Coturnix japonica: one gene and its partners. The protein of the gene in region 1 interacts with the protein of each later gene in a pairwise test. Links are inferred from orthologs where the notes say so. Each region holds a gene or a part of one and is shown in the gene's direction. Other genes may lie near its edges.

Region 1 (4,185 bases):
AGGGAGCAGCTGCTGCTGGACGAGCTGGTGCTGCTGGTGAACAAGCGGGACGCGCTGGTGCGGGACCTGGACGCGCAGGAGAAGCAGTGAGTAAGAGGCGGGGGGGGCCGGGCTCTGTGCCCCCGCTCACCCCCGGGTGTCCCCGCAGGGCCGAGGAGGAGGACGAGCACCTGGAGCGGACTCTGGAGCAAAACAAAGGCAAGATGGCCAAGCGGGAGGAGAAGTGCGTCCTGCAGTGAGCGGCGGCCCCGTCCTGCGCTGCCGAATCGCCGCCGAGAAGCTGCCAAGAAAGAAAAAGAGAGAGAAAAAAAATGTTTTGCAAAAAAATCAAATCAAATCAGCCCCCCCAACACACACATACACACACACACACACACACACACACACACTCTCCCCCAATCCCCCCCACTCCCCCATTCCCTCGGGCCGGAGCCGGCGGGTCCCGTCCGGAGCTCCGCGCAACCCCGGGTTCGTGCTGTAGGGTTAGAGGGGCCCGGAGATCCAACACCGACCCCACGGGGAGGGCCCTCTCGGTCCCGGTCCTGGTCCCGGTCCGCACCCCCCGCTGTCCCCGGGCCGTATTTATTGCGCCGGGCCCCGCGGAGCCCCCGTTTATTTATTACAGTGTCGAGACACGGAGAAAGCGTTTTCAATAAAAACCGAATCTTTCTTACCGGACCGAGCGCCTCCTCTGTGTGCTGCCGGGGGGAGACGGACAGCGCGGAGCTGGTGGGGGGGGGAAAGTTTGGTCGGTCGCGGGCCGGGGAAACTTCGGCGGGGTAAGAAGCGGCGGGCGGGGGGGGGAGGGGCGGCAGGGGGAGCCGGACAGGGAGCGCCGGGCGGCCTTCGTCTTCCTCCTCGTCGTCGCCGTCGGGCTTCGGGTGTCCCCGCCGAGGAACCGGGGAAGTACGGGGGAAGGAGAGAAATAAAGAAAAACGAAAAGAAGGGGGCGGGGGGGAGGGGGGAGAGGGTGAAGGGGGGAGTGAAGCCCTGCGGGTGCGGTACGCGGTACGCGGTGCGGTGCGCGGTGCGCTCGCGTTCAGCTGTAGCGCGGACGGGCGTCTTGTTGGGGCGCGCTCACCGCCTCTCAGCGCTCCCGGCCACTCGCCGCGCCTGTTCCCTCGGTTTTCTCTTCTTTTTCTTAAGAAATCCACAAAGTTTGGGGCCTTCCGGGGCTACAACCCTCCCCCCCTGCCCCTCTCTCTCTCTCTCTCTCTCCTCTGGAGCCGCCGCGTCCCGTCGCCCGCGGGGCAGAGCGGTGCGGGAGCGGCGAGGGGCAGGGGACAGGGAGAGGGGAAGGGGTCGGGAGCGGTGCGCCGGGCAGCGCGGAGCGGTGCGGAGCGGCGCGGAGCGGCGCGGGGCGGGGGGGGGGGCCCGGGGCCGCGCTGCCATTGCCCGGGCGGCTGTCAGTCAGGCGGGGAGCGGCCGCGGATTGGCGCCGGGTTGGTTACGCACGGGCTTTGCGCGCACATACAAGGGTAGGGCGGCGCGGAGGCGATCAAACCTCATCAGGGCCACGGCTCCATCGCCCCGACAGCGCGGGCCGGCGGCAAGGTAACGCGGGGAGCCCGGTCGAGCTGCGCGCCCCCACCGCCCCCTCCCGGGGGGGGCGCCCGCTCCGCTCCGCCCCGCGCTCCGCGGCCGCGCAGGGGGGGCCCGGCCCGACCCGGCCGGGGGGGTCCCGGCCACGCCGCCCCCCGTCCTCCTCCCCCCTCCCTTCGCGGCCCGGAACCCCGCGCCCGGTGCCGGTGCCGCTCCGCGCTCCCCTTCTTCACTCCTTCTTTTCAACTCTCGTCCATTTCTAATTAAAACGTCCCCGTCCGCTCGCTTTTAAATTAATTAGACTTCCCTCCTCCGGTCCCTCCTTTTGATTCCTAATCCAATTATCTTTTTAAATAATTGCTTTATCTCTCCCCATCGCCGGGCGACGGTGCCTCTCTGCGCTCGCCCGCAACTCACCTTCGTTTCGAAAAAGAATAATTATTTAAAAAAAGAAAAAGAAAAAAAAAAAAAAGAAAGAAAGAAAAGCCCCCGAACCTGCGAAGTTGCGGCTCTCTGACCCCGCTCTCTCCCCGCAGGACCGGGCCGACCCCGCTCCGCCGCCTGAGGACCGAGCGTCGGCGCCGCGGGACGGACCGAGCACTGCGCGGCTCTGCCGCTCGGCCGGGGGCTCTTTTTGTTGCGTTCGTTTTGGGGGTTTTTTTTGTTTGTTTTTGGTTTTTTTTTCCTCTTTCTCTTCTTCTTTTTTTTAAAAAAATTTATTTGTATTAGGGTTTTGTTGTTTTTTTTTTTAACTTTCCTGCGGGACGTTGGAGGAAACCCGCCCGGCTGTTAGCATGATGTCTTACCTCAAGCAGCCCCCGTACGGCATGAACGGGCTGGGGCTGCCGGGCCCCGCCATGGACCTGCTGCACCCCTCCGTCGGGTACCCGGGTGAGTCACAAACGCGGCCCCCCTCTCCCCCCTCCCCACGCTCGGATTTCGTTTGTTCTGGAGGGGAATTTTAAGGAGAATTTAAAAAAGAAAAAGAAAAGAAAATAAGGAAAGGAAAGGAAAGGAAAGGAAAGGAAAGGAAAGGAAAGGAAAGGAAAGGAAAGGAAAGGAAAGGAAAGGAAAGGAAGGAAAAGAAAAGAAAAGAAAAGAAAAGAAAAGAAAAGAAAAGAAAAGAAAAGAAAAGAAAAGAAAAGAAAAGAAAAGAAAAAGAAGGGGGAGGAGGAGGGGAGGTGGAAAAGTGATTTATTTACTCACAACGAAATCTCCATGTATCTCCCACCGCGGCCGGGCCTGATCCTTCCCAAATGCTTCTCCGCTCACCCCATCCGCGGCGGGATGGGGTCCGGCCCCACATGGCAGTGCCGTGGGTCCAAGGGGTTCTATAACGTGGGGTCTGCAGAGGGGAGGGGGGGGGATGCTCAGGCCGGGGCAGCGCGGTGCCACAGTGACGGTGCCCACCCGCAGCCACCCCACGGAAGCAGCGCCGGGAGCGCACCACCTTCACCCGCTCACAGCTGGACGTGCTGGAGGCCCTGTTTGCCAAGACGCGCTACCCCGACATCTTCATGCGGGAGGAGGTGGCCCTGAAGATCAACCTGCCCGAGTCCCGAGTGCAGGTACCGCTGGGACAGGGGCACTTGGTGTGGTGGGCCACTCTCAGCCAGTCTCCCTCGGGTGTGCGTGGGCCGTGCTGCTCAGGGGAAGGGGCTTTTGTTTATATTCTGCTCGTTTGTATTTCTTTTCAATCTTATTTGATTCGTGTTCCCCCGTCCACCTACCCTGTGGGGTTAGCAGCCCCTGTGCTGCCTTGCTGTGCACCAGCAGCCTCGGAGTGCTGCCTGTGGGGTGGGTGTGCAGGTGCTGGCCCCTTCCCCGTGGCCATTTATTGAGTCCTGATCTTGGTGGGCTCTCTTGGCCTCAAGCTCCAATGAACCCAGTGCAGCAGTATGGGACGCCCCACTGCTCTCTGAGGGCATTTGGGGTGATGCTGTCACGGCGCGGGCAGGGCTCCGTGGGTGTAATGGCGGGGTGTGGGTGCGGGTGAGGCTGCCTGGCTGCGGGAGGGCACTCAGGGCCCCTGCTCCTCGCCCCATTGCTCACAGTCCCATTTCCCCCAGGTCTGGTTCAAGAACCGCCGTGCCAAGTGCCGGCAGCAGCAGCAGAGCGGTGGTGGAGCCAAGAGTCGCCCAGCCAAGAAGAAGTCGTCACCGGCCCGTGAGAGCTCAGGCTCAGAGAGCAGCGGGCAGTTCACACCGCCGGCAGCTGCCTCCAGCTCCTCGGCCTCCTCCTCCTCCTCCAGCTCGGCCTCATCAGGGGCGGCAGCGGCGGCTGGGGCTGCCCCGGCCTCCTTGGGCACGACGGCCTCATCCATCTGGAGCCCGGCCTCCATCTCTCCTGGTGCGGCCCCGGCCGGGGTGACGGTGCCCGAGCCCCTGCCACCTGCCGGCGCGTCCTGCATGCAGCGCGCGGGGCCCGCAGCCTCCGCCAGCTACCCCGTGTCCTACGGCCAGGGCGGTGGGTACGGGCAGGGCTACCCCGCACCGCCCTCCTCGTCCTACTTCGGGGGAGTGGATTGCAGCTCCTACCTGGCCCCCATGCACTCCCACCACCATCCCCACCAGCTCAGCCCCATGGGGCCCTCCTCAGTGCCGGGCCACCACCATCACCACCCGCTGAGCCAGAGCTCGGGCC
Region 2 (4,133 bases), on another chromosome or scaffold:
ATCTAGGGGTGTTAACTGACAGCTGGCTGAACACAAGCCAGCAGTATGCACAACTACCCAAAGAGGCCAATGGCATTCTGGCTTGTATCAGAAATAGTGCAGCCAGCAGGAGAAGAGAGGTGATCATCCCTCTGTACTCTGCACTAGTGAGGCCACACCTTGAGTAGTGTGTTCAGTTTTGAGCTGCTCACTACAGGAAAAACAGGTTCTGGATTGTGTCCAGAGAACAGCAACGAAGCTGTGAAGGGTCTGGAGCAAAAGGGAAAGTTCAGGTTGGACATTAGGAAAGAATTATTCTCAGAAAGAGTGGTTACGCATTGGAATGGGCTGCTCAGGGAGGTCAGGGACTCACCATCCCCAGAGGTGTTCAGGGAATGTGTAGATGTAGCATTTACAGACATGGTTAGTGGGCACAGTGATGATGGGCTGACAGCTGGACCAGATGGTTTTTGAGGTCTTTTCCAACCTTAATAAACTGTGGAATGAGAATCTCAACTCGCTTTCAGGGATTCATGGTTTATTTTAACATGCATTATCCAAAAAGGACCATTCTCCTGCAATCTCTCTGCTTTGCCCTCCACGCACAGAGGACCGGACAGGCTCCCAGAAGGCTGCAGTACTCAGACACACTCACCGCACCAATACGTTTTGGGCTGACAATAGCAGGACACGGGGAAATGGTTTTAAGTTAAAAGAGGGAAGATTTAGGTTGGATGTTAGGGGGAAGTTCTTCACTAGGAGAGTGGTTAGGCCCTGGAACAGGCTGCCCAGGGAGGTTGTGGATGCCCCGTCCTTGGAGGTGTTCAAGACCAGGTTGGATGAGGCCCTGGGCAACCTGATCTAGTAAATGTGGATGTTTGGTGGCCCTGCCAGGCAGGGGGTTGAAACTACATGATCCTTGAGGTCCCTTCCAACCCGGGTCATTCTGTGATTCTGTGATTCTGTTTTGCACATCCCCCATGCGAGCAGCAAAGCAGCCATTGCTGGAGACCACCTTCCTCACAGAGACCTCAGCTAAGCCATTAGTCCCAACAGACACCGGTCGGTTGACAGCAGACCCCCAACCCGCCTCACTACTTCTGCGGACACCCCATAACAGAGCACAGACACACACTTAACACCCACCCAACCCCACTCGGCCGTACCGCCCCCCGTTACCCACCAGCGCAGCGCCCGCCCCCGCCGCCCATGGCGTGTTCCCGTGCGTTGCGGGGCGTGGCGTGCTGCCGGCCGGATGTTGTTGTTGTTGTTCCTGCCCCGCCTCTCGCCCCCTCCCCCCGCGGAGGGTGACGGGCGCTTCCTCGCCCGTAGCCGCGGTCTCGCAGCCGCCGTCTCCCCGCGGGCCTGCGGCCGCCCGCTCCGACCCCGGGACCTGGGGCCTCCCGCGGCCCTCCCCAGCCCGGCCCGCCGCCTCGGCTTCTCGCTTCGACCTTCCCCTCCCGGGCCCGGCCATGGCGGACTTCGACGAGATCTACGAAGAGGAGGAGGACGAGGAACGGGCGCTGGAGGAGCAGCTCCTCAAGTATTCTCCCGACCCGGTGGTGGTGCGCGGATCCGGCCATGTCACCGTGTAAGGGCCGCGCCGGGGCCTGCGCGCTGGGGGCGGGGGGAGGCCGGGGACGGGCGGCGGGCCGAGCTGCGGACGGCAACCGGAGCTGCTGCCGCTGCCTCGGTGCTGCTGCCCCGCTGCCGGCCTGGGCCCCGTGGGGGTCGCTTGGGGCTCGCAGGGAACTGCGGGAGGCGAGGAAGATGCGGGGCTGTGAGTAAGAGAGGAATGCGAAGCACGGGTCCTAAGCGCTGAGGTGTCAGGAAGTCAGGTGCGTGGGGCTGCGTGGGATCAGGAACTCGCTGCCGAGCTGTCTGCCTGCCCGCTGCACACCCGCCGTCCACCCCCGAGGGCTCTCGGGGGGCAGGAGGAGCCCCTGGGACACGCGGGTACGTGTGCGGTCGCGTTGGGTTGCGGTGGGTGCACGTGGTTTCACTTTGTCTGACACGGGAGTCGCTGCGAGTTTTGGTTTGCAAATATCCCCGGCGCTAACGCTGTGAGTTGGTGTGGGGCTCCTCAATAATTAAACAACTGAGGGTGGCTTCCCTCCAGTCGCTTCCATCGGGCTCGCGCTGTTGAGGCATAGGGTTGTCAGCTGTGATGTACAGCTTCAAATACTGAAATAACAACGTAGAGAAAGCACCGTGCGACAGACTTTATGTAGATACTTCTGTTTGTGTGCGTATACATTTAAAAAAGTATATTTTAACTGTTCAACAGGACTAGCCTGGCAGCAGAAGCATCAGAGTTGAAGGTCTTGTGTTCTTCTACTCTGACTCCTGTGACCTCTGCTGATTTCCAGATACTGACTCGTCCAGAAATCTGGGTTTAACTTCAGAATAGTTTGGTGGCGCTTTGATTCATCACTGCTATAATTGATTGATATTATGAAATGCTGACGACGAGGTGGTGCAGATTGTCAGCTGGCTATAAACAGGAAACAAGATGTGATAGACAGAGTGGTTTGGAAGCTTGGGAGGGTGTGGAGTGGGCAGGAGGCTGTGAAGCCCTCTGAAGGAAAACATATCCAAAATATTCAGTGGCTGACTTTGTATTTCAGTTCAGGGTGATCAGGAAGTTTTTGTTATCCAGTGGCTGTTTGCCATCTGTGAAAATAAGCTGGTAGCCTTCATTTTTCTTTCTGGTGAGCGATCAAGGACATTGATGGTTGTCTTATTGACAGATGGAAGTGTATCAAGAGCTGAAATTGAGGCAAACTCTGGTTTCTTCTCCAGTACATGAAGACCAGTTGTGCATGATCTGTTCGTAAAGTCATGAGGAAGCTTGCATACCATGTCTGTGACTGGTATGGACTTTGTGGCTGAAGGATAGCTGCCTCATTAATTGTTTATTAATGGTCACCGGTTCATTATAACTGTAATACCTTCCTCAAAATATTAGTTCTGTAGCTTCTGGATGAGTAAAGAAGTGTGAGCGTGGACCTCCAACATCATGCAATTGGATTTTAATGAACTTTGTTTATTGTACTGGGCACACAAACAGTTCCCTGAATAGTGGTAACCACTTTCACCTTCCTACAGCCTATAACATTTTTCTTAGTGATGGAGAAGCTTATTACTAGTACTTAGATCACTGTCAGGACATTCACTCGTTGAATTTAAGAAACAGGACAAGGTGTACATGTCTAATCAGTTTGTTCTGCCTGGCATAAAAGCATGTATGTGCTTTGAAGGCCTGGCCAAAAAGTAAAATAAAAATCAGTGGTTAAATAAAGTGAATGCTGGGTTGGTCTGTCTCTGACTCTGCTGTTTAAAGAGGTACTGACTGCTTTTGCTGTGTGTGTACTTAAATAGAAGCTCTCTTCTTCATTGACCTTTGTCATATCCTCTGATCTTCTATAGGAGTCATAATGTTTTGTTTGAAATACGTCACTTCTATGACTACAGATTTATGTCAGGAAGGCATTTACTATGACTCGATTTCATCCAACAGACAGTGGAAGTGTGTGAGAGTCCTTTCTAAGCTGAGTAGTTTAAAGAGAGTCAAAAGAATATATTATATTGTATATATAAGTATATGTATCCTGGTACTCAGTAGTAGTATTTGAGGTGGCAAGTTGGACATGTGCCTTCACAGCCCAGAAAGCCAACCTTATCCTAGGCTGCATCAACAGGAGTGCAGCCAGCAGGGGGAAGGAGGGTGATCCTGCCCCTCTGATCTGCACTTGGTGAGGCCTCTTCTGTGGAGTACTGTGTCCACATGTGGAGTTCTCAGTGCAGGAAGGACATGGACCTGGAGTGTGTCTACAGGATGGCCACAAATATGATCCGAGGGATGGAACACCTCCCCTGTGAGGAAAGGCTGAGAGATCTGGAGCTGTTCAGTCTGGAGAAGAGAAGGCTCTGGAGTGACCAGATAGCTGCCTTTCATTCTCTAAAAGGGGGCCATGAGAAAGAAGGGAACATTCTCTAGCAGGGTCTGTTGCGATAGAACAAGGGGAAATGGGTTCAAACTAAAACGGGGGAGATGTAGATTGGTTATAAGGAAGAAGTTTTCTACAATAAGGGTAGTGAAGCACTGGAAAAGGTTTCCCAGAGATTTGGATGCAGTGTCCTTAGACACATTC
Region 3 (4,180 bases), on another chromosome or scaffold:
GGCCCTGTGTTCCCAGCTGTGTCACACCTCTTGTTCCACGTTCTGTCCCGCATCCCGTGTGCCATGTGCTCACACCGTGCTCCCAGCCTTACGGCCCGCGTCCCCATCGCTGTCCCCAGCCCCGCGTGCTACGTACCCAACCTCGCGTCCCACGTCCCAACTCCAACGTCCTCGTCCCCAGCCGTACGTGCCACGCACCGAACCTCACGTCCCAGACCGCAGCCCTTTGTCCTCCATCCCCACCCCGCGTCCCGTCGCCCCAGCTCCGCGTCCCACCCCCGCTCCCGTCCCCGGCCCCGTCCCACCCCGTGTCCCCACGTCCCTCCCCCAGCGCCGTGTGGCCGCCCGCCCGGCCCCGCCCCGCCCGGCCCCGCTCCCTCCCGCCCGCCGCAGGGCCGCGCCGGAGGCAGCCGCGGGCGGGTGGCGGAGCGGCGGCGGCACCATGAGCAGCGGCGCCGCCGAGCGGGAGGGCCCCGCCGAGCCGGGCCTGCCCGAAGAGGAGGTAGCGGGCCGGGCGGGGGAGGGGGAGCCGCCGAGGGCGGGCCGGGTCCCGGGGCGGGAGCGGTGCGGCCCCCACGCGTGTCCGCGGGGTCCCGTCAGCCTGGGCGTGGGGCTCGGGGCGCGGCGGGAAGCTATGGAAGTTGGTGGGGGGGGAGGCGGAGCGGCCCGGAGCCGGGTGCGCCTCGGCACAAGGGCTGTGGGACGCGGGGCGCTTGGACTCACGCGGGGTGCGGGCACGGCGCCTCGTCCCCCGGAGCGGAGGCGGCGGCACAAGGTCCCGTCGGGCGGCACGGCGGCCGCGCACAGAGCCTGGCCGGGGACGGGAGCCGGGACGGCGGCCCCGCTCGGCTCTCGGCGGCACCGCTCCCGGCACAGCGCGAGGTCGGTGCCGCCGCTGCCCGGCCGCCGCGCCCTCACCCCGAGTGCGCGGGCACGAGGACGGGTCGCGGTCACGCCGCGGGCGGGGGTCGGGGCGGGGGCAGCCGAGCGGCTCACCGCTGGTGGAACATTAAAGCGAGCCCGGGGAAGGTGATCGGATGCCTGGGGAATGAGTCACCGCGCTCCTCCCGACGGTCCCTTCCTGCCCGAGCTGACCGGCGGAGCTCGGCGCTGGGGCGGCGGAGCGTGACCGCGTCCTTGGGGCAGCCGAGGGGCCACGGCGCTGACCCGGTGCCCGTCGCACCGCCCGCGGCCGCCGCTGCTGTGCCGAGCCGCCTCCGGGCCGCTCTCGGGCGGAGCGAGGCCCGCCAGGTCTCCCCGAATGTCCCCGGGGCGAGGAGAAAACCTGCCGGGCGGGGACAGCGCGAAGGGGACGGAGCAGGCACGAGGCTGCGCCCCGGTCTGTCCGTGGGCAGCAGCAGAAACAGAGGGGTGCGGTGGGGTGGGCACGGGGTGGCTCCGGAGCACATTCACCACCCTCGCCTGGTGACAGTCCCGGGCTGTGACGAGGGATGGTGAGGGGTGAAGGCGAGCCGGGGAGAAAGGCTGAGCGCGGCAGGGTGGTGGGGCTGCCATGGGGGGTGTCAGCCCACTGGCGTGGAAGGATCCCTCCGGGAGGGGTCCCCAGCCCCCACAGAGGGGATTCTGCCACTGCCCACCCCGGCCTGCACTGACAGCATCTGCAGGGCCCGGGGAAGGCTCCAGAGCCACAGCCTCTGTCAGGGAGCTGCCCCGCTCCGTGGCAGAGCAGGGGCAGCCTTTCCCCACGGCTCCTTGCTGGGGAGACCGCATCGCAGCTCCTTCCCCAGCCTCTGCTTGTCTCTGGTTTTGGGCAGGGGGGAAAAGCCTAAATGGGATTTCCCCCACCACCCCCCTTCAAGCTCCTGCTGTAATCTGCGCTTCTCTCCCTGCTCACTGAGCACCGCAGCACTGGCCCGACTTGGCCGACCTGCGTTTGAACTTTCAAAGAAAACAAGTCATTACCGAGGAGAAGCCGCATCTCTGTGAGGCCTAATTTCGGAGGGTTTTTTTTCAGGGCCTTTATCTCTCTTATCTGCTGCGCAGCCATGGGGCTAAATTACCCGGAAAGTCAGGCTCGGGCGGGTTTAGCTTTCAGGAACACAGCTCACAGCGGGCACTTCCTTGAGGCCGTGAGCACAGAGCTGTGTGCAGGAGCGTGGCCTGGAGGCCCTGGGGAGCCTCCTGCAGGCCCACAACCAGCTGACGCTCTGCCCCTGCAGGTGAGGACCCTGTTTGTCAGCGGCCTGCCCCTGGACATCAAGCCCCGCGAGCTCTACCTGCTCTTCAGGCCCTTCAAGGTACTGCACCCGCTATGGGGCTCTGAGGGCCTCTGAGGCCAAATGAAACCAATGGTGCTTCTCTTCTCTCCCGCAGGGCTATGAGGGGTCACTTATCAAGCTCACCTCCAAGCAGGTATGGGCTGCACCGTGCCCCCACCTGCCTGGGGGCTGCCCTCACCAACTGCTGGGGATGTGGTGGGGTCTTGGCCCTGACCGCCCTTCGCCTCCTCTCTCCGCAGCCCGTGGGGTTCGTGAGCTTCGACAGCCGCTCAGAAGCTGAGGCCGCCAAGAATGCACTGAACGTGAGTGCTGGGACCCCCTAGGGAACACCAAAAGAGATGGATCCCAGTATCTATTACCCCGTGGAGACCTCCTGGGGAAGCCCGGTTCCTCCCCATCCTTGCATTGAGGCAAAACGCCGCTAATCCCTTGCTGGGAGCGTGGCTGCACGGGATACCGACTACCAAATATGGTGCTGAGCTCGAGGATGTCAGAGGAATGTGAGCCACGGGGCCATGCTCGCTGCCAAGCACATGAGGTCACGGCCACCCCAGCAGCCCGTGGGGATATTGGGACAAAATCCGAGGCTGTTTTAGCCCAAATGGCCTTCTTGAATGGGGGGCAGCACCCTACCACAAGATTCAGCCTAACTGACCTCTGCTGCCCTGTTCCTTTCCACAGGGCATCCGCTTCGACCCTGAGATCCCCCAGACCTTGCGGTTAGAGTTTGCTAAAGCCAACACCAAGATGGCCAAGAGCAAGCTGATGGGCACTCCCAACCCCAGCACGCCCCTCCCCAACACTGTACCTCAGTTCATCGCCAGGGAGCCCTGTGAGTGCTTGCATCCTGACCCTGGTCCGCCCAGTATATGGCCCTGGCAATGCCCCTTTCTTACTGAAGCAGTTGGGGCAGTGATACCTTAGGAGCTGGGTGCAGGGAAGCTTTTGGAGAGGCACGGCAACTGTGGTTGGGTTTGGAAACCAGCTGCTTGTGCTTGGGATGACGCAAGGGCAGGTGACGGTGGCCTGGGCAGAAGTGCAAAGCTTATACCTGCTGTCCACTTTCCCCTTGCTTTTAGGATTAATTTTCCTCCTTTTCCTGCAGATGAGCTCACAGTGCCTGCACTTTACCCCGGCAGCCCTGAAGTGTGGGGGCCGTACCCTCTGTACCCAGCGGAGCTGACGCCTGCTCTACCTCCTCCTGCGTTCACATACCCTGCTTCGCTGCATGCCCAGGTAATGGCACTGGCTCACAGCACTGCAGCCTTTCTGACAGGCAGAGCAAGAGGGAGGGAAAGGAGGGGAGCTCTGGGGCCAGCTGCCCAGAGGAAGAGCAATGGTAAATATTATTGCAGCCTCATACTTCCCCTGTCAAGGCAGCGCTGACAGGCAGCACCTGTGCTCCTCCTGGAGGAATCAGCACTGCAGCCACCGCAGCCCCAGGGTATGGCTGCACTACCCTTTGCTGCAGTTTTCCTTCCTGCTCACCCCCTGCCCCCATGTCTTGCAGATGCGCTGGCTCCCTCCCTCCGAGGCTGGGTCTCAGGGCTGGAAGTCCCGTCAGTTCTGCTGAATGCTGTGTAAGTGCCCCCCGGTGTCCTCCGTGTAGCACACCTGCGGTGCCAGCCAAAACTTGGGTAGGAAGGGGGACGTGCCAGCCCCATCCCTGAGCCCTGCCATGCCACCCACAGGTCTCGGGTGTGTGATGGCGGCCGACGGTCAGTCTTGTGGGTATGAACAGAGCCCCCCGGCGGCTGCTGGGCACGCACGCTCTCTGCAGAACCACAGTGTGCTGGTAAGGAGCGCAGTGCTCGGGCACAGGCTGTCCCCCCATGCTTAATCATCCACAGCGGGGGTGGGAGTTCCAACTGCCCTGTCACCCCACCCCCTCTCTGCCATACAGCTTCCTGCCCTATAGCAACACTGGTCACACTCCTCTT
Region 4 (4,220 bases), on another chromosome or scaffold:
AAAAAGTCTTTGGTGACCTTCAGTATTTTGCTTCCCTAAGATATTTGAAGCTAAGAGACATAAACCAGATTTCAGCAAGCTGTAACTCTTCAAACAAGTCATGGAGCACGACCTTGAATGGATTATTGCATCTTGCACTGAATGAAGCACATGGAGAGGAGGTGAGGCTGTTACTCTGTACTGACTGATGGAGTTTTCTTACAGTATTTGTTTTGCTGTAGATGTTGATGTCAAATAGTGAATCTGCCTTTCCTCAGTCACTGGTGTTGTTATTTACATTACTTAGTTCCTACCTAAACATTGTTACCTTGGGGCCACAAATAGTTCTAAACATAAATCATTTAGGGATCCTGTTTGTTGAGACTGTGTTTTAGCAACAGATGAAATAACTGTTTGTACGTAATCAAACCATAAAATCATGTTTTGCAGATTTCTGAAGATAGAAGTTTGTTTTGGCTGGAAACACTCAGCAGAAGGGTAGGACAAGACTAATGATTCTGCTCACTGCTGGGCATCAAACTTCACTGTCCAGCCCTTTCCACAATGTCTGTCTTTAGAATTTGCAAATGTTCATTTATGGTATTCAAAACAGATGCTGAGAAGTTCTAACATATTGGGCTTATTACACATGAATGAAATAGAAGTGAGCACTGAATGAATGTGTCAGGTTGGTTCAGCTTCATTTGTAATCTCACAGTTCACCAGAACAGAGAATACATCTTCTGTGACATTGACAGTTTTATTCATGGTGGCATTTAATAGAATTTATGACTGATGTGACTTAGTTCAGACTTGAAGACTCAGACCTAACAATTGACAGCCTGCATTGACTATGACCATTGTTTTTTTTATCTCCGCCTTTCTATAGTGGATGTATGAAAGCTGCAAATCTACCTACATTACCAGGCTCATGTAAAAATACTGAACTGAAATGCATGTTTTCTAATATATAATGCTCCTTTGAAGAAGGTACTGATCTACTCTGCATGTGCATGGTGAATAAGAAAAGCCTAAAGAGCATCCCTTGGAAATGTTTTCTAGCAATGGGAATCTAAAGCATTGGGAGGCTTCCTGAGCTGGTTGTGGAGCCTCCAATCACTGGAGACATTTAAGAACAGGGTAGAGAAATCTGGCTCAAGAATGCCATAGGTACTATTGATCCCATTACAGAAAGTAGAAAATATTATCTTAAAATTCTTACCGGTTATCTTCTAGAATAATTTGGTTTCTTGTGGCCATAAATATATAAGAACCACTGTAAAACACTTAGCATGCTATTTTGGAGAGCGGAGGTGTTTTTCACTTATTTTTAGAACTTGACCTTAAGACTGAAAAATAACTTTTTCCTTCTGACTTTTGTTCTTTGCTTGGCAAACATCAGTTAAAAACACAGAGATGGAAAATATTTAAACTTTAAACTAGCATGAGCTTTTCTTTTTGTTGTTTGTTTGTGTGCTCGTTTCATTTGTGATGTCAACGCCAGCCAGGCAAAAAGGTGTAACTAACCTGGCACTGCAGAGTGTAGAAATACTGTTATGCCAAAGCCCAGATAAACACCATCTACTGCTCAGATTTATTAATTTATTTTTATCAATAATACTTAAAAAGAACAAATTTTACTGGCAAATCTGGAAGATGTTTCCCCACCAGATAATAATAAGTTCGAGTACATCATCCACTCTTTAACTTGCCCTTTTAAAACAGGAGGAGGTATCCAGAATTAATCATCATCATGACCCAACACTTTCTGATCTACTATTGTGTGTTTAAGCTGCACTGCAGTGTTGATTTATGGCATCTCCAGCACTTAGATCTGAATATAGAAAGATGAAGAATGAGTCCAAGGAAAATAAGTGTTGGAATGACCTCATTTTGTGGAGACAACATGTCTTGGTCAGCTTCAGAAAGCTGTGAAGAAGCTGCATTTTTCTCTGTGCAGTTATTTTACTACCATTAGAGAAAAGAAAAGATCCCAGCATCTCTTGCAGAATAAAGAGAAATGACTCCAGGTTTCTAGAATGTAAAGATACACTGATGGCTGCCTTCACATCCAGAAGACATCATTTATAATTAGCCTAATGTAAATATAATATGCCTCAGTTCCGTTCATTTAGAAGAAGTGATCAATAAGCACTATTTTGTCACCATACTGTCCCACACTAATTGTTGCTGAGGAAAATGGATGTCATTTCTCAGCAGTGAATATTCCTGATGTCACTGAGCTTGAGGACTTGCAGCTTCTAAATACAAACAGTTTCTTGTGCTGTTACACATCAGCAGAGTCACATAGAGGTAACATGTTTCGTGTGTTCAGCTTACCCTCCAGCCTCCACTAACAAATTAATTATCAGTGACTTTTGGAAGGCAAAACAGGTGGTGATGAGCTTAAAGATTGTCCATGTAGACAAAGATCTCTTGCTTCCCTGAAGAGAGCTGGCATCACTGCTGGTAGCCCTTAATCTTTTAAATCCTTTAACTTGCAACTTGTCCATACAATGTATTTGAAAGAGTGAGATTCTCTTTTTACCATCCATCCTTCACGCTGACTTGAAGAGTTTGGAAGCTTTCTTCTTTTTCTGCCAATTATTTGAATTTCTTCAGTCCACAGTAAAACCAAAGAAAATACTCTAATTTCTGGCTTTGATGAGTTAGTTTGAATGCTAAATAATGGGCATAACTTAAAAATTTGTGAATTTTACACATAACGTGATCACCAGTTTATAGTATTGCAACAGGGTTTGTCATTCTGAGCAGCTGGAAGTGTTCAGAAAAAAGCTGAGCTCTGTGCAGGAGAATCGTGACTCCTCTTGACAGTCTCCCACAGCTCTTTCTGGATGCTAACATTGCTCCCTTGCTGGCTGGGGGTCACATTGTTATACAAGCCAACTTCACATGGCCTTAAAAATGGTTGTTTTCAGGCAGCCCACAACCTCTGCTGAAAAATTGGTTTCCTTTTTTTGGCCTCTGAAAGCTTAGAAACGTAGAAGTATCCAGTTATTTAGATAATGGGCTTTCAAGCAACATTTTTATTAGGTGTCTGAGTTTAAGGCTTTTTGAATGTAGGTTTGTTTGGTTCTATGTCTTGATACCATCAAGTAATTAATACTCCACTTGGATAGCAGAAAATGCATTCATATTTTATTTGCCTCACATTAAATGGTTCCTTTTTTGTTGTTGTTTTCCTCCACAAACCACAAGAAATAAACCTACGTGGTTGATTTGATCTTTGGGTTCGCACCAAAAAGTCACTTGCTGTGTATAACATGAGGTGACATGCTCCAGACAAGCAGAATGATACCTAGGGTAACGTAAGCAAACTAAATTAATGTTTAGTATAAATTTATTTGGTGTGAGAACATGTGAAATCTGTCTGCTGCAGCATTCTTGTAGTATAGAACTAACACTTGTTTGCATGCTGTGTTGAACATGCACGCTCAGTTGTGCCTACAGGACTACACAGTTACCTCCAAGAACTGTGCATAGCCACAGGGACGGGAAGCCTTTCCTGAATATGGGAGGTCTGAGGCCAAAACGAGGACAAAAACCTTCTGTAAATATCCAAATATTCTGCTTCTATAACACTGTAAAGACTGAACTACTGTTTTCTGGGGCTTTCCCGTCTGTGGTGTCCCCGAGGATTTTGGATGATCAACACACTAATAGATTTCATAATCAAACAGTGAGAATGTGTGACCAGGAATTTCACTGCTCTACAGACTCACCTTTTTACAGGCCATGGTTTAACTTGCAGTTTCCTTCATGTAATAGCTTTAGGATTTTTTGGGGGCCAATTTGCTTTGGCTGCTCTGGATGGATTTCTCAATCTGCTCTGTGTCTTCTGGTGGAAAGTGCTGGATTTAGACTGACTGAGGGAAAGTGCTGGACTGAGACTCATTCTTTCACAGACAAGAAGCAGCAGTCTCCCTTCCTTTCATGCTGTCACCTCTGCATTGCATCCTTCCCTTAGACAAGCCTGGGTAAGGGGGAAATGAGAGAATGTCAGCCTCTAACGATCGATCCATTTGCCAGATCCCTTACTAAAAGTGGTGTGATAGCCCCTCTATGGAGCTGGACTCAATAATTCTACCCCAAGTGGTAAAACTGCCTTGGGGTGTTTCGAGAGCCTTTTGTGAAACTCCACTGGGGTCCAGATGTCTCATAGCTTTTGTGATGTTGTGAGTAGTTTCAGAAGGAAAATCTGTGAGGGATAGGGTTATGAA
Region 5 (3,883 bases), on another chromosome or scaffold:
GGGGATGGGGAGAGTATTTTATTTTAATTTATTTTATTTTAATCGGATGAGGGAATGCCTACTTTCTGAAACTTCCTATACAGCAAAAGCGTGAAATTGAAGAAAACATAAGTAATGCTGCTTCGTGATAAGCTTGCAGGACTTCTGGGGGGAGCACTATGACACACTCTGCAGTCAAAACCAGGAGTTGGCAGTGTTTAAAATAGTCGGTTACTCTTTAAAGCCTAGATTTTTTTTGGGGGGGGAGGAAAAAGCACTTGAGGGGAGGGCACCAGGAGTTAAAAGGTTAAATGCTTTCCGCTGCTGTTAGAAGAAAGACAGTGTCTGGAGATGTTCATTGTTAAAGTGTTTGGCTATATTTTATTATACTGTGGTATAGTATTCTTGTTGGTAACTGATGTGTACAGAGTAACACTATGGTGCTCTCTCTAGGTATAATTGAAGACATTGTGTGGTCCTTGTAAGGAGCTTGGTTCCTGCTTGGATTTTAATTGTAAAATATTGTTCTGGATTTTTGTGTAGGTAATTGGATTTAGGAACTGCTTTAAAATATGATAAAGGCAAAACAAATACTGAGTGATTCAGAGGTCAGTGCTTGAAACTTGTGCATATTTTAACGTGGAAGTAAGTTATGTGCAAGTCCCCATCTTTTGGGTCTTTTCCTGACTTCCCATTTAAATTCTCAAGACTGCCTTTCAACTTTGTAGTTATTCATCCTTTAAAGCTGTTAGCAACCAAGTAACCTCCTTGGGTGCTGATGTTATCTGATGGCATTATTCACGCCTCTCTCCCAGGAGCCACTCTTGGTAATATTTGAGGTGTAGTCTATGGAATTTTTTACACATTTTATAAATACCAAAACTGGTAGCATTGCTTTTGTAGTACTGAGCCTTAAAATAACAATTGCAGTGGTGTACAAGTATGACACACACTAAAATATTGGAGAAAGATATTTTTACTTGTGCTGCTGAAGTTTTTGGTAGCACTAACTCATTTAATGTCTAACCTCAAACATTTTATTGCTATTTAGTGTTTTTCTTGGGACCATTGGTATTAAACTAAAATTTCCTATTTACATCATGTAAAGTTTAATGTGTAAAGAAACTGGCCTACCAAAATATTATCCAGTTTTAAACAAAATTGGAGAATTGTATGTCTGTCATCAGCAGGTCATGTTACACTTGCTAAATGCTTGCAGGCTCTTTCTAATTTAATGTAAAATAAGGTTTTCAGTAGTATCGTGTGAAAAGAAGAGTCACTTAAAGGGGCTGAAAGTTGGTCACATTAGAGGCTGTGGTCTGGCAGGAGGATGGCCTGGGATGTCCTAGTTACCAACCGTCATCCTTAGGCTTTCTAGAGGCACAGGCTGAAATGCACGGACCTAGAACAGAGTCTCTTTAAGCTTTCTGCAGGAGTAGCCAGGGGAGGCCAAGTAGAGCATACTTAGCTGACCAGCACTGCACTCCCCCCTGAGCTGTGAATCCTTTTTTAATGGCTGATGCATTACTTTGAATGTGTGCAGTACTGTGGAATCCTGCAGGCTGGTGGAGAGCATGAGATGTGTTGCAATTAGTGAATCCTCTCTTTGTTGCTCCAGGATTTCAGATGTGTTCTAAGCCTGCTGGGGTGAGCACGCTTCCGGGCAGCGATGGAGACGAGAACTCAGCACGGCAGTGGGTCGGAGGCCTTGCTACAGGCTCGGCGTGACAGTGGGAGGCCGCATGGGGAGCCCGACCTGCGGGATGTCCTGACGCAGCAAGTCCACATCCTGTCCCTGGACCAGATCAGAGCCATCCGCAACACGAATGAGTACACAGAGGGACCGACGGTGGCTCCGCGGCCAGGGGTCAAGTCTGCTCCTCGTCCAGCAAACCAACCCAAAAATGAGAGGCCTCACGGCCTGCCTGAGCATCGCCATTTTAGCCGGGTTCAGCACACGCAAATGCACGCTTCTCCTAGGGCACCTCTGTCCCGCTCCATCAGCACAGTCAGCACAGGCTCACGGAGCAGTACAAGGACAAGTACAAGCAGTAATTCCTCTGAACATAGACTTCTAGGATCATCTTCAGGGCCAATTGCTGATGGGATAGTCCGCATGCAGCCCAAGTCTGAGCTCAAGTCGAGTGAGCTGAAGCCGCTGAGCAAAGAAGATTTGGGAGCACACAGCTACAGGTGCGAGGACTGTGGGAAGTGCAAGTGCAAGGAGTGCACGTATCCAAGGACCCTTCCGTCGTGTTGGATCTGTGACAAACAGTGTCTTTGCTCAGCCCAGAACGTGGTCGATTATGGGACTTGTGTGTGCTGTGTGAAGGGCCTCTTCTATCACTGCTCCAACGATGACGAGGACAACTGCGCTGACAACCCCTGCTCTTGCAGTCAGTCGCACTGCTGCACTAGGTGGTCGGCCATGGGTGTGGTGTCCCTCTTCCTGCCTTGCTTGTGGTGTTACCTGCCAGCCAAGGGTTGCCTTAAGTTATGCCAGGGCTGTTACGACCGGGTCAATCGGCCTGGGTGCCGCTGTAAACACTCCAACACGGTTTGCTGCAAAGTTCCCAGTGTCCCCCCCAGGAACTTTGAAAAGCCAACATAGCATCACCAATCAGAAATAATCAAGTAATAAGGATTATTTTAACATATATGCAACCAACTAAGCAGCTAAGGTCTTGGCACTGTAGTAGAAGGGTTGGGGGTACACTTTGCTGTTTGCAGTGACATGCTTTTCTCTGTGTGCCATCTTAATTGATAGGCTTGTTAGAATCCAACTAGTGGGATGCAGAATAAAAAAGGCAATGCAGTACATCGTGACCCACATATTGCATAAGCTAAAGCAACACAGACACTCCTAGGCAACTCCATGGTTTGTGAATAGTACTTGCAAAATTTGTAAATTAGCAAATGACTCCCTTTTTTCATTGTTTTCTGCCAGAGATAATGTGCTATATTTTTGTATATACAATAATATTTTCAACTGTGAAAAATAAGTGGTGTCATAAGACATGGCACAGTCACAAAATATTATACTAATATGTTGTACATTCGGAAGAATGTGAATCAATCAGTATGTTTTTAGATTGTATTTTGTCTTACGGAAACCTTCTATTACAAGACTCTGATTTCCCTTTGGACTTCATGTATATTGTACAGTTACAGTAAAATTCAGCCTTTATTTTCTAATTTTTTCAACATATTGTTTAGTGTAAAGAATATTTATTTGAAGTTTTATTATTTTATAAAAAGAAATATTTATTTTAAGAGGCATCTTACAAGTGTCACCCCTTTTTATGAGGACGTCATAGTTGCTGCAAATAAGGGGTGAACGATGCATATGTTCACTATAAAATAGAAAATATATTAACGTTTGAAATTAAACTGGGCTACTTGTCATTTTTTCCCCCATTTATTGTTTTGAGTTGGGAAAAACAATACTTTAAATTGCAGACTTTGAAGTAATATTGCCATGGCCAATCTAATTTGACCAGCTTGAAAATCAAAACAGAACTTTTAAGTGTACTTTTTCTTCTTTGTTTACTGCTTCACCTGAAAGTAATGCAGGATTTTCGCTTCCTTTATACAAATGTCACATATGCTGGTCCTGCATCTGAAAAGGAAAGTGAACATAGGAGAGCGCGTTGATTCATTCCAGACTAGCAATAATGGGCACTGAAAGGTTGACCTATTCTGTAAGTGATGAGCTTTTGTGCTTCAGATAGGAAATAAGTAATCATTCACAAAAAAAAAAAAAAAAAAAAAAAAGTTAGGCTTGCATAGCTTTACTCAGAGAGGGGGGAAGAAGGGGGAAGATTGATATCGTCAGTGCAAAAAGCTTACAGGATTATTTGTTAAAAGCAGAAGAATATGCCACAGGGGATGATAGATGTGAACG
Region 6 (2,845 bases), about 43 Mb from region 1:
TATCTGCTGCAAGAGCTGTCTGGGGAAAAAAAAGCAAAAATTGCTTTGGTTATCCCTAGATACCATCAAATAGTCTAAGAATTGTGATCGCGTATTTTCTCTAATGAAAGGTGGGATAATACCCAGGAAATTATATACAGTTTTCTTCAGTGTCCAACTGAAATTATCTTCAGCATCAAATCATGGTTTGGAACAGACAAATATATAAACATACAATAAATAAATAAATAAATAAATAAATAAATATCCAGGCATTGTAGAAGAGTTTCTTGGGCTATGTCACGTACCTTTAGCAACTCTTCTTTGTTTCTGTATGTGTTAATTTATGCTTACTTGTGGACCTTGCTTGCTACATTTTACCTCTGCTTTTAGTAAATTTTTGCAATTTCATTCTTGTGAATGAAACCAACAGCCATTTAAAATTCCCTTACATTCTCTGTGACATAGTGTATGTTTTAACTTTGGAGTGAGATAACTGCCAGTACAGCAAGCTACTGTATTTCTGACAGTGTATATATATATATCTAGTAGGCACATATTTACTGTACGTCCTGTTGTCTTCCAAAGCCAATATGAACCAGCAGTTAAGACTAAAGCAGTCTTTTGGGACTTAGGATTTAACAGAACTGCTCACATAATTCATTCCCTAGGAATGCAAGGATGTCATTAACCCAACTGCTTCTGCCCCTACTGGAAACCGTATGAGGCAAATGAGAACAGTTTGCAATGCTTTAGATCAGAATGGGAGCTTTAAAGTTCTCGTTCATCCCAGCATCCTATTCTGGATGAAACTTTGGCATAGGAGCTGAAATATTCAGCCTTGTTCAGTGATGAAGTCACTGAGGCAGAATGTCCCAGTGTGCTAAACAAATACCTTGCACACATCTATTTACCAAAGAGATAACTTGAATAATTGCAATTAATCTTGCCATATGGCTTTAGTGAGTCACTGAAAAACTACAATGTGAATTAAGAGATCCATAATTAATTTGTTTCATTCTATAATGGCAATTAATTTTTACAGTATTCAGTGGCAAAGGAACACCACTATCCTGCCAAATGTGAGCTTTCTTGTCCAAGCCATTTTGCTTGGTAATGAAGAATCGATTGGCTAGCCTCATGAACTGGTCTTGTTAAGATCTGTGACACATTCAGAGGAGAATGCTGAATAGGAAACTTCGTGAGGGTCATTCAACATTCCTTTGTGAGAAATATTTCAAAATATGTAAAAAGTAAAACATTTCAGTGTGTAAGAACTTATTTTGGGAAATCCAGGTTACTGCAGAACTTTATTTATTAGCACTAGTATTGTTAAATAGAGGCATTTCATCTTACAGCTATTAAGATGGATGCAAAGACCAAGTCAAAACTGAAATAAAGTCTATCATCTGAGTCTGAAATCATGTGTGTGCATTTTAGAACATTTACTCTGAAAGTTAGAGTGTACCTTGAATAAAGTGATGAACTTAGGATGTTCCATGGAGCCATATGAAAGAAAGAGATATATACAACCTTTCCAGCATTACTGTATAATATCCATCTGTTCTCATCTTCTTCAGGTTAGTCTTGACTCCCGGGTGAGAGAAGTGATCAACAGAAACTTGCTGGATCCCAGTCCTCATATGTATGAAGATGCCCAACTCCAGATATACACCTTAATGCACAGAGACTCTTTCCCAAGGTTCTTGAACTCTCAAATTTATAAGTCTCTTGTTGAAAGTATTACAGGCTCTACTTCTGAAACTTAGTTTTAATTTTAATTTTCAAATAAAATAACTTCATTTTTTCGGGGGTGGGCGGGACAGAAGAAAAGTAGTTTATTACCATCTGGAGCTGGGTTCCTGGAGAACTACAGTTTAGCTCTACTCAGGCTACTGTGAAGAAAACAAATACATACTATGGTCTCTGTCTACATTTTTACCAAGGTCCTCCTTGCTTGAAATAGCATGGGAGAGAAACAGTGGATTTGCCAAAATACATTTGTTTCGCACTCCTTTCACCCAACTGCAGTCAAGATTGCAATGATGTATTTGTAGTTTTATGAACAGTCTCCTTGTGTATCCTCACATTGCATGTGCAAGGTAAAACTGCTTCACTTACCACTTAGTTGTTGCAATATTTAATCCAATAACATAAATTATATCTGTATTTAAGAACTTTTTTGTGCAATACAGTCTAATGGTACATAGAAACAACAACTGCAGCAAACCAGAAAGAGGCTTGCATTTTTTTAACATCACTAACTGAAAAAAGCCAATTTTTAAGGTGTAGCATTACTCAACATGCTCTACTGAGTACAATACACTGACTTTTTGAAGCCAATATTTCTGTATAGAAAGAGCTATTTATCACTGTTTATTTAAAATAAATCAAGTGGAGGATTCCTCTGGTTGTTCACTGCCAAAACTGTGGCATTTTCATTACAGAGTTTGCAATGTCAAAAAAAAAAAAAAGAAAAAGAAAAAATAAATAAAAAAGAAGGAAAAAAAAAAAAAAGCACAAACCACTTAAAGGGATCCATATCTGAGTGACACAATCTATGCGCTGATATTGTTTAATTGTTAAAAGAACAAAGATTTTCAATGTACATTTCAGATGTCAGATACTGTAATTGATTTATTAAAGACTGGCTACCCAGTTCTAACACTGTTGTATAATGTTATGTACTTCAGCAAAAAAAAAAAAAAGAAAAAGAAAAAAAGAAAAAAAAAAGAAAAAGAAAAAAAAGAAATAAGAAAACAAAAACAAGAACAAACACAGAAAGCTTGATAATTTAGTTTTTTTTAATAAAGAAATTTAATAAAAGATTGCCTACATGTAGCATTTTAGAGTATTTTAGAACACT
Region 7 (3,978 bases), on another chromosome or scaffold:
ACAGAGAAGTTCTCACATCCCTGTCTGGGGAAGCAAACGCCTCCATGGAGAGTGGCAAACTCTTTGATAACCTTCAAGGTGAAATACTCATTGTCTCTCGCTTTATCCAGGAATGGATTATCTGGGTTGTGGAACAATGAGGTCATGTCTTTTCTCTACACTGCTGGAGAGTGCTTCAGGTTTCACACAGGGTAGCTGCTCCCGTCCAGCCTTCTCTGCTTAATGCCATGGAAAGCAGCTTCTCTGTCAGTGAGCTTTCCCAAAGCTGAGGATGTGAATTGTGTCTATTTGGCCTCACGTTGTTATGCATGAGGCATCTCCGTGGCGTTTGGATTGCTGTGTTAGCTGGGAGCTGGATGTGTTGGGTGCAGTAAGGTGAGGCGACCAAAGTCATTGGGCTCCTTTCAGGTGAATGTCCCCCTGGCTGCACTGCCACAGCCCAAACCTGGGCACCGCAGCTTTAATGGAGAGCTGTTGCCTTGAGAGTGAGGGATCCCTAAACAGGGCTGCAGGTGTGAAGGCCAAGGGGTGCTTAAGTAGATTAGAACACAAATACAACCTTGAATGTGCTGGCATGCTTCCTCACCACCAAATCAGCAAGCTCTACCCTTCTACCCTACAGATTCTATCTTTCAGATGGTTATGCTCTTTAATAAGCAGGACCCCTAGAAAAGAAAAAGTAAAAATAGAAAATCATATTAAAAAATTCTGTGTTGATTTCAAGCAAAGCACAAAAATACCAGAGATCCCATGAATACTGAGATTACGGTGGTGTGCACAGGATGCTGCCACACAAAAAATCTCTGTGACAGAAAATCCTTGAAATTTGGTTTACAGAACTCACTGCTGTTTTTTGTACAAACATGTAACATAACTCATCCACCTCTTTCTTCTTAGTGTCGTGGAAATCTTGGTTAAGCTGTCTGAAACATGTAGAAACAACTGGTTCCCTTGGTCTGAGCCCACATCCAGGCTTTCATCATCCGTAATTTTGGTAAAAAGCTGCTTTTGTTAATGTAACGCATCATAGTAACCGGTTACACTTTCACTACAAAAGGGTGTTTTATTTTCCCGAGGGATGAATAGCAATCGAGGGTCAGCTGGTAGTGCCAAGTGCCTTGATAACACAATTGGCTGCATAGAGCTTTGTTAGGCCCCTCCGTGCTTGCTGGGGAGACTTAAAAGAAGATGGTGGGAGAGCTGCTCCCTGCATACTTGACTGCTGAGGGTCTGAGTTTTTCGCCGAATCACAGAATTGAAGGGATTGGACTTTGGTTTGCCTGCTGGATAAGAAGGTAAGTGCCTGAAGCAGAGCCCAAGGAGCCCTCACTGCCTAACAGTGGGGGCTGGGGAGGAGAGGAGACGGACACAATGTTTGAAGATGACTGTATGAATTTCTGCCCTGAAATCAAACACTCACTGATTTTAGTTTGGAAAGATAGGGGCTGAGAGAGTCGGTGGGAGGCAGAAAGTGGGAGTAGCGAGTGTAATCAGAGCAAGGGCTGATCTGTGTCATCTTGATGCTGATTTCGGTGTGTTTGTGACACACAGCTGTAGTCACCCTGACCCATGTTAGGAAGCATCTCTGTTAAACACTCAGTGGGGTCTGGCTTTGATCTCATTAACCTTATCAGCGCTGGATTAGCAAATGTGCTTCTGGAGCCTGACTCTCAAATACTTAAGTTGAGATTATGATTCATTTTTTCTTTCTTTCAAAGTAAAATCAAATCCAAGATTAAGTTGGACATGAGCCAGCAGTGTGAGCTTGCAGCCTGGAAATCCAGCTACATCCTGGGCTGCATTAAAAAAGGGGTGGCCAGCAGGGAGAGGGAAGTGATTGTCCCCCTCTACCCAGCTCTACCACAACTGTGTCCAGACCTGGGGCCCCCAGTACAGGAAGGATGTGGAGCTCTTAGAGTGGGTCCAGAGGAGAGCTGCTAAAATGATCAGAGGGCTGGAGCAGCTCTCCTGTGAGGAAAGGTTGAGGGAACTGGGCTTGTTTAGCTTGGAGAAAAGAAGGCTCTGAGGAGACCTCATTGCAGCCTCCCAGTACTTGAAGGGAGTGTTTAAACAGGAGGGGGAACAGCTGTTTATGAGGATGGACAGTGATAGGACAAGGGGGAATGGTTTTAAACTGAGACAGGGGAGGTTTAGGTTAGAGATTAGGAGGAAGTTTTTCACGCAGAGGGTGGTGATGCCCTGGAACATGTTGCCCAAGGAGGTTGTGGATGCCCCATCCCTGGAGGCATTCAAGGCCAGGCTGGATGTGGCTCTGGGCAGCCTGGTCTGGTGGTTGGCTGCCATGCATATATAGCAGGGGGTTGAAACTCGGTGATGATTGTGGTCCTTTTCAACCCAGGCCATTCCATGATTAAGCTGTCCTAGGCCAAACCCACTGGCTTCTGCATTGGTCTCACAGTCTCTGGGTAGTGCAGAGAGGTGGCCTTCATGGAATTCTATCCCTGAGGTGAGAGCCAGTCCCCAGATGTCATCTTCCAGTGTCATCTTTTCATTGGAGTAAATAAAGAATAGAATAAAACCCCTTCTCAGCCAACCTGTACAGCACTATGGGTTACTTCCTTGCATTGCTTGTACCTGTTGTGGCTATAATGGAATGAAATCATGGTATTTTTACAGATTTTTTTCCTCTTGGAAATATTTCATTATAATTATTAAATAATTATTTGGCAGCAGTCAGCACTGCTGCAAAAACCTTTTTCTTTCTTTTTTTTTTTTAATGTTAAAATGAAATGTCTTCTGGATCTTCCAGAAATTTAGTAGCAACTAGTGGGGAAAGGAGGGAAATTCTGCCTGTTTTCCTCAATGAGAACAGAAGGAAAACGTTGGTGAGTAAAACTATGAGAAAATCTGTGGAGGAAATAAAATTAATAGAAAGCATGTGTGGAAAACTTCCTCCTTCTAAGTGTGCTCATTGTTTATTTCTAAACTCTACATGAAAAAACAATGAGATGGAGAAGAAAAGCCCACAGTACATCATTAAGCTCAAAGAAGTTTTATTTTCCTACGAGTATTTGTAGCCATCAAAAGGATCCAGTACCTCCAGCGGGCCGTTTTGTACCTCCCTGCTGTTTTTCATGGAAGTTTACGTGGTTGTCCCCTGAGATCATGTGATAGGAGATGGTTGCTTTGTGGAAAATAACATGCTAAGCAGATGTGAGGTTAGAACCTTGGGCCCTGTGAAACAAGGGAATGCAGCTGACTTTCAACTGTGAGACAGTAGGAGTAAGGTCCCAGAACAGCACTGATAGGGGCTGAAGCAGAGCTAATGGCTTCAGGAGAAACTGAGGCAATGCCCTGGGCCGTTCCTGTGGCCATTCCTGCTGGCAAGCTCTGCCACACTGACCAAACAAGTTGTAGGCAGTTTGTACTTAAGCATCCACCCTGGCATATCCATAGTGACTATCTTAAGTTAACACGAGATGATGTATTCTGAATTCTGGAAGATGCTGGCACGGTGTGATGACAAAATCAACCTTGTAAGTGAGCATCAGCTGGAGAAGAGGGGTGTTTGTAAATCTTAGGCTTTTTTTTTCCCCCATCCTTAGAGCTGACATGTTTTACCCTAGTCCTAAAAAAAAGAAAAGCCCCAGTGCTGTAAGAAAAAACCTCCATAGATTAATTTCAAAAAGAAAGTTCCGTGTTACTGCATGCTGTCTGAAAGTGTGTGACTCTCAAGAACATCCAAGAAAAGCAACCGGGTTTTTCCTGGGGATTCCTTCAGAACGAAGTGAGGCCTACTTTGCTCTGTGTATGCTTTCGGAACTGTTTATTTGATTGGTGTCTTGGAGATGGCTTTGCACAAAGATGCGCTCTACACCTTGAAATGGTTTCTGTCAGGATTGGACTCTTTAGCTTGACGTTTTGGGAATAGCCAGTACCTTCTACTGTTACTAGTGCGCTGTAATTTTAAGCTGAATTTATCCTATGACGTTATCTTGGGGACCACGGGAGACACAA

Evidence for each region.
Region 2: the proteins of OTX1 (region 1) and CHIC2 interact in binary tests that used the Homo sapiens proteins (3 or more experiments, as listed by UniProt). The two-hybrid records come from large-scale screens. The link is inferred for Coturnix japonica from reciprocal best matches to the Homo sapiens genes OTX1 and CHIC2.
Region 3: the proteins of OTX1 (region 1) and RBPMS interact in binary tests that used the Homo sapiens proteins (3 or more experiments, as listed by UniProt). The two-hybrid records come from large-scale screens. The link is inferred for Coturnix japonica from reciprocal best matches to the Homo sapiens genes OTX1 and RBPMS.
Region 4: the proteins of OTX1 (region 1) and COMP interact in binary tests that used the Homo sapiens proteins (3 or more experiments, as listed by UniProt). The two-hybrid records come from large-scale screens. The link is inferred for Coturnix japonica from reciprocal best matches to the Homo sapiens genes OTX1 and COMP.
Region 5: the proteins of OTX1 (region 1) and SPRY2 interact in binary tests that used the Homo sapiens proteins (3 or more experiments, as listed by UniProt). The two-hybrid records come from large-scale screens. The link is inferred for Coturnix japonica from reciprocal best matches to the Homo sapiens genes OTX1 and SPRY2.
Region 6: the proteins of OTX1 (region 1) and RGS17 interact in binary tests that used the Homo sapiens proteins (3 or more experiments, as listed by UniProt). The two-hybrid records come from large-scale screens. The link is inferred for Coturnix japonica from reciprocal best matches to the Homo sapiens genes OTX1 and RGS17.
Region 7: the proteins of OTX1 (region 1) and SPRY1 interact in binary tests that used the Homo sapiens proteins (3 or more experiments, as listed by UniProt). The two-hybrid records come from large-scale screens. The link is inferred for Coturnix japonica from reciprocal best matches to the Homo sapiens genes OTX1 and SPRY1.

What each region holds. Positions count from the first base shown.
Region 1 is NC_029518.1:2,095,942-2,100,126, reverse strand, and holds the start of OTX1 (homeobox protein OTX1), read left to right. Parts: upstream 1-1,374; 5' UTR 1,375-1,554; intron 1,555-2,078; 5' UTR 2,079-2,336; coding exon 2,337-2,433; intron 2,434-2,958; coding exon 2,959-3,110; intron 3,111-3,611; coding exon 3,612-4,185. Other genes in the region: EHBP1 (EH domain-binding protein 1), read left to right, coding at 1-86, 149-239. UniProt on the Homo sapiens protein: Probably plays a role in the development of the brain and the sense organs. Can bind to the BCD target sequence (BTS): 5'-TCTAATCCC-3'.
Region 2 is NC_029519.1:59,083,044-59,087,176, forward strand, and holds the start of CHIC2 (cysteine-rich hydrophobic domain-containing protein 2), read left to right. Parts: upstream 1-1,309; 5' UTR 1,310-1,451; coding exon 1,452-1,570; intron 1,571-4,133.
Region 3 is NC_029519.1:30,663,443-30,667,622, reverse strand, and holds the start of RBPMS (RNA-binding protein with multiple splicing), read left to right. Parts: upstream 1-1,379; 5' UTR 1,380-2,006; coding exon 2,007-2,258; intron 2,259-2,334; coding exon 2,335-2,373; intron 2,374-2,479; coding exon 2,480-2,542; intron 2,543-2,921; coding exon 2,922-3,072; intron 3,073-3,345; coding exon 3,346-3,476; intron 3,477-3,750; coding exon 3,751-3,813; 3' UTR 3,814-3,820; intron 3,821-3,931; exon of another isoform or gene 3,932-4,035; intron 4,036-4,180.
Region 4 is NC_029543.1:2,829,777-2,833,996, forward strand, and holds the start of COMP (cartilage oligomeric matrix protein), read left to right. Parts: upstream 1-1,398; 5' UTR 1,399-4,220. UniProt on the Homo sapiens protein: Plays a role in the structural integrity of cartilage via its interaction with other extracellular matrix proteins such as the collagens and fibronectin.
Region 5 is NC_029516.1:136,865,557-136,869,439, forward strand, and holds the end of SPRY2 (protein sprouty homolog 2), read left to right. Parts: intron 1-1,597; 5' UTR 1,598-1,648; coding exon 1,649-2,590; 3' UTR 2,591-3,369; downstream 3,370-3,883.
Region 6 is NC_029518.1:44,751,553-44,754,397, reverse strand, and holds part of RGS17 (regulator of G-protein signaling 17), read left to right. Parts: intron 1-1,559; coding exon 1,560-1,748; 3' UTR 1,749-2,845. UniProt on the Homo sapiens protein: Regulates G protein-coupled receptor signaling cascades, including signaling via muscarinic acetylcholine receptor CHRM2 and dopamine receptor DRD2.
Region 7 is NC_029519.1:47,746,008-47,749,985, reverse strand, and holds the start of SPRY1 (protein sprouty homolog 1), read left to right. Parts: upstream 1-1,178; 5' UTR 1,179-1,295; intron 1,296-3,978. UniProt on the Homo sapiens protein: Inhibits fibroblast growth factor (FGF)-induced retinal lens fiber differentiation, probably by inhibiting FGF-mediated phosphorylation of ERK1/2. Inhibits TGFB-induced epithelial-to-mesenchymal transition in lens epithelial cells.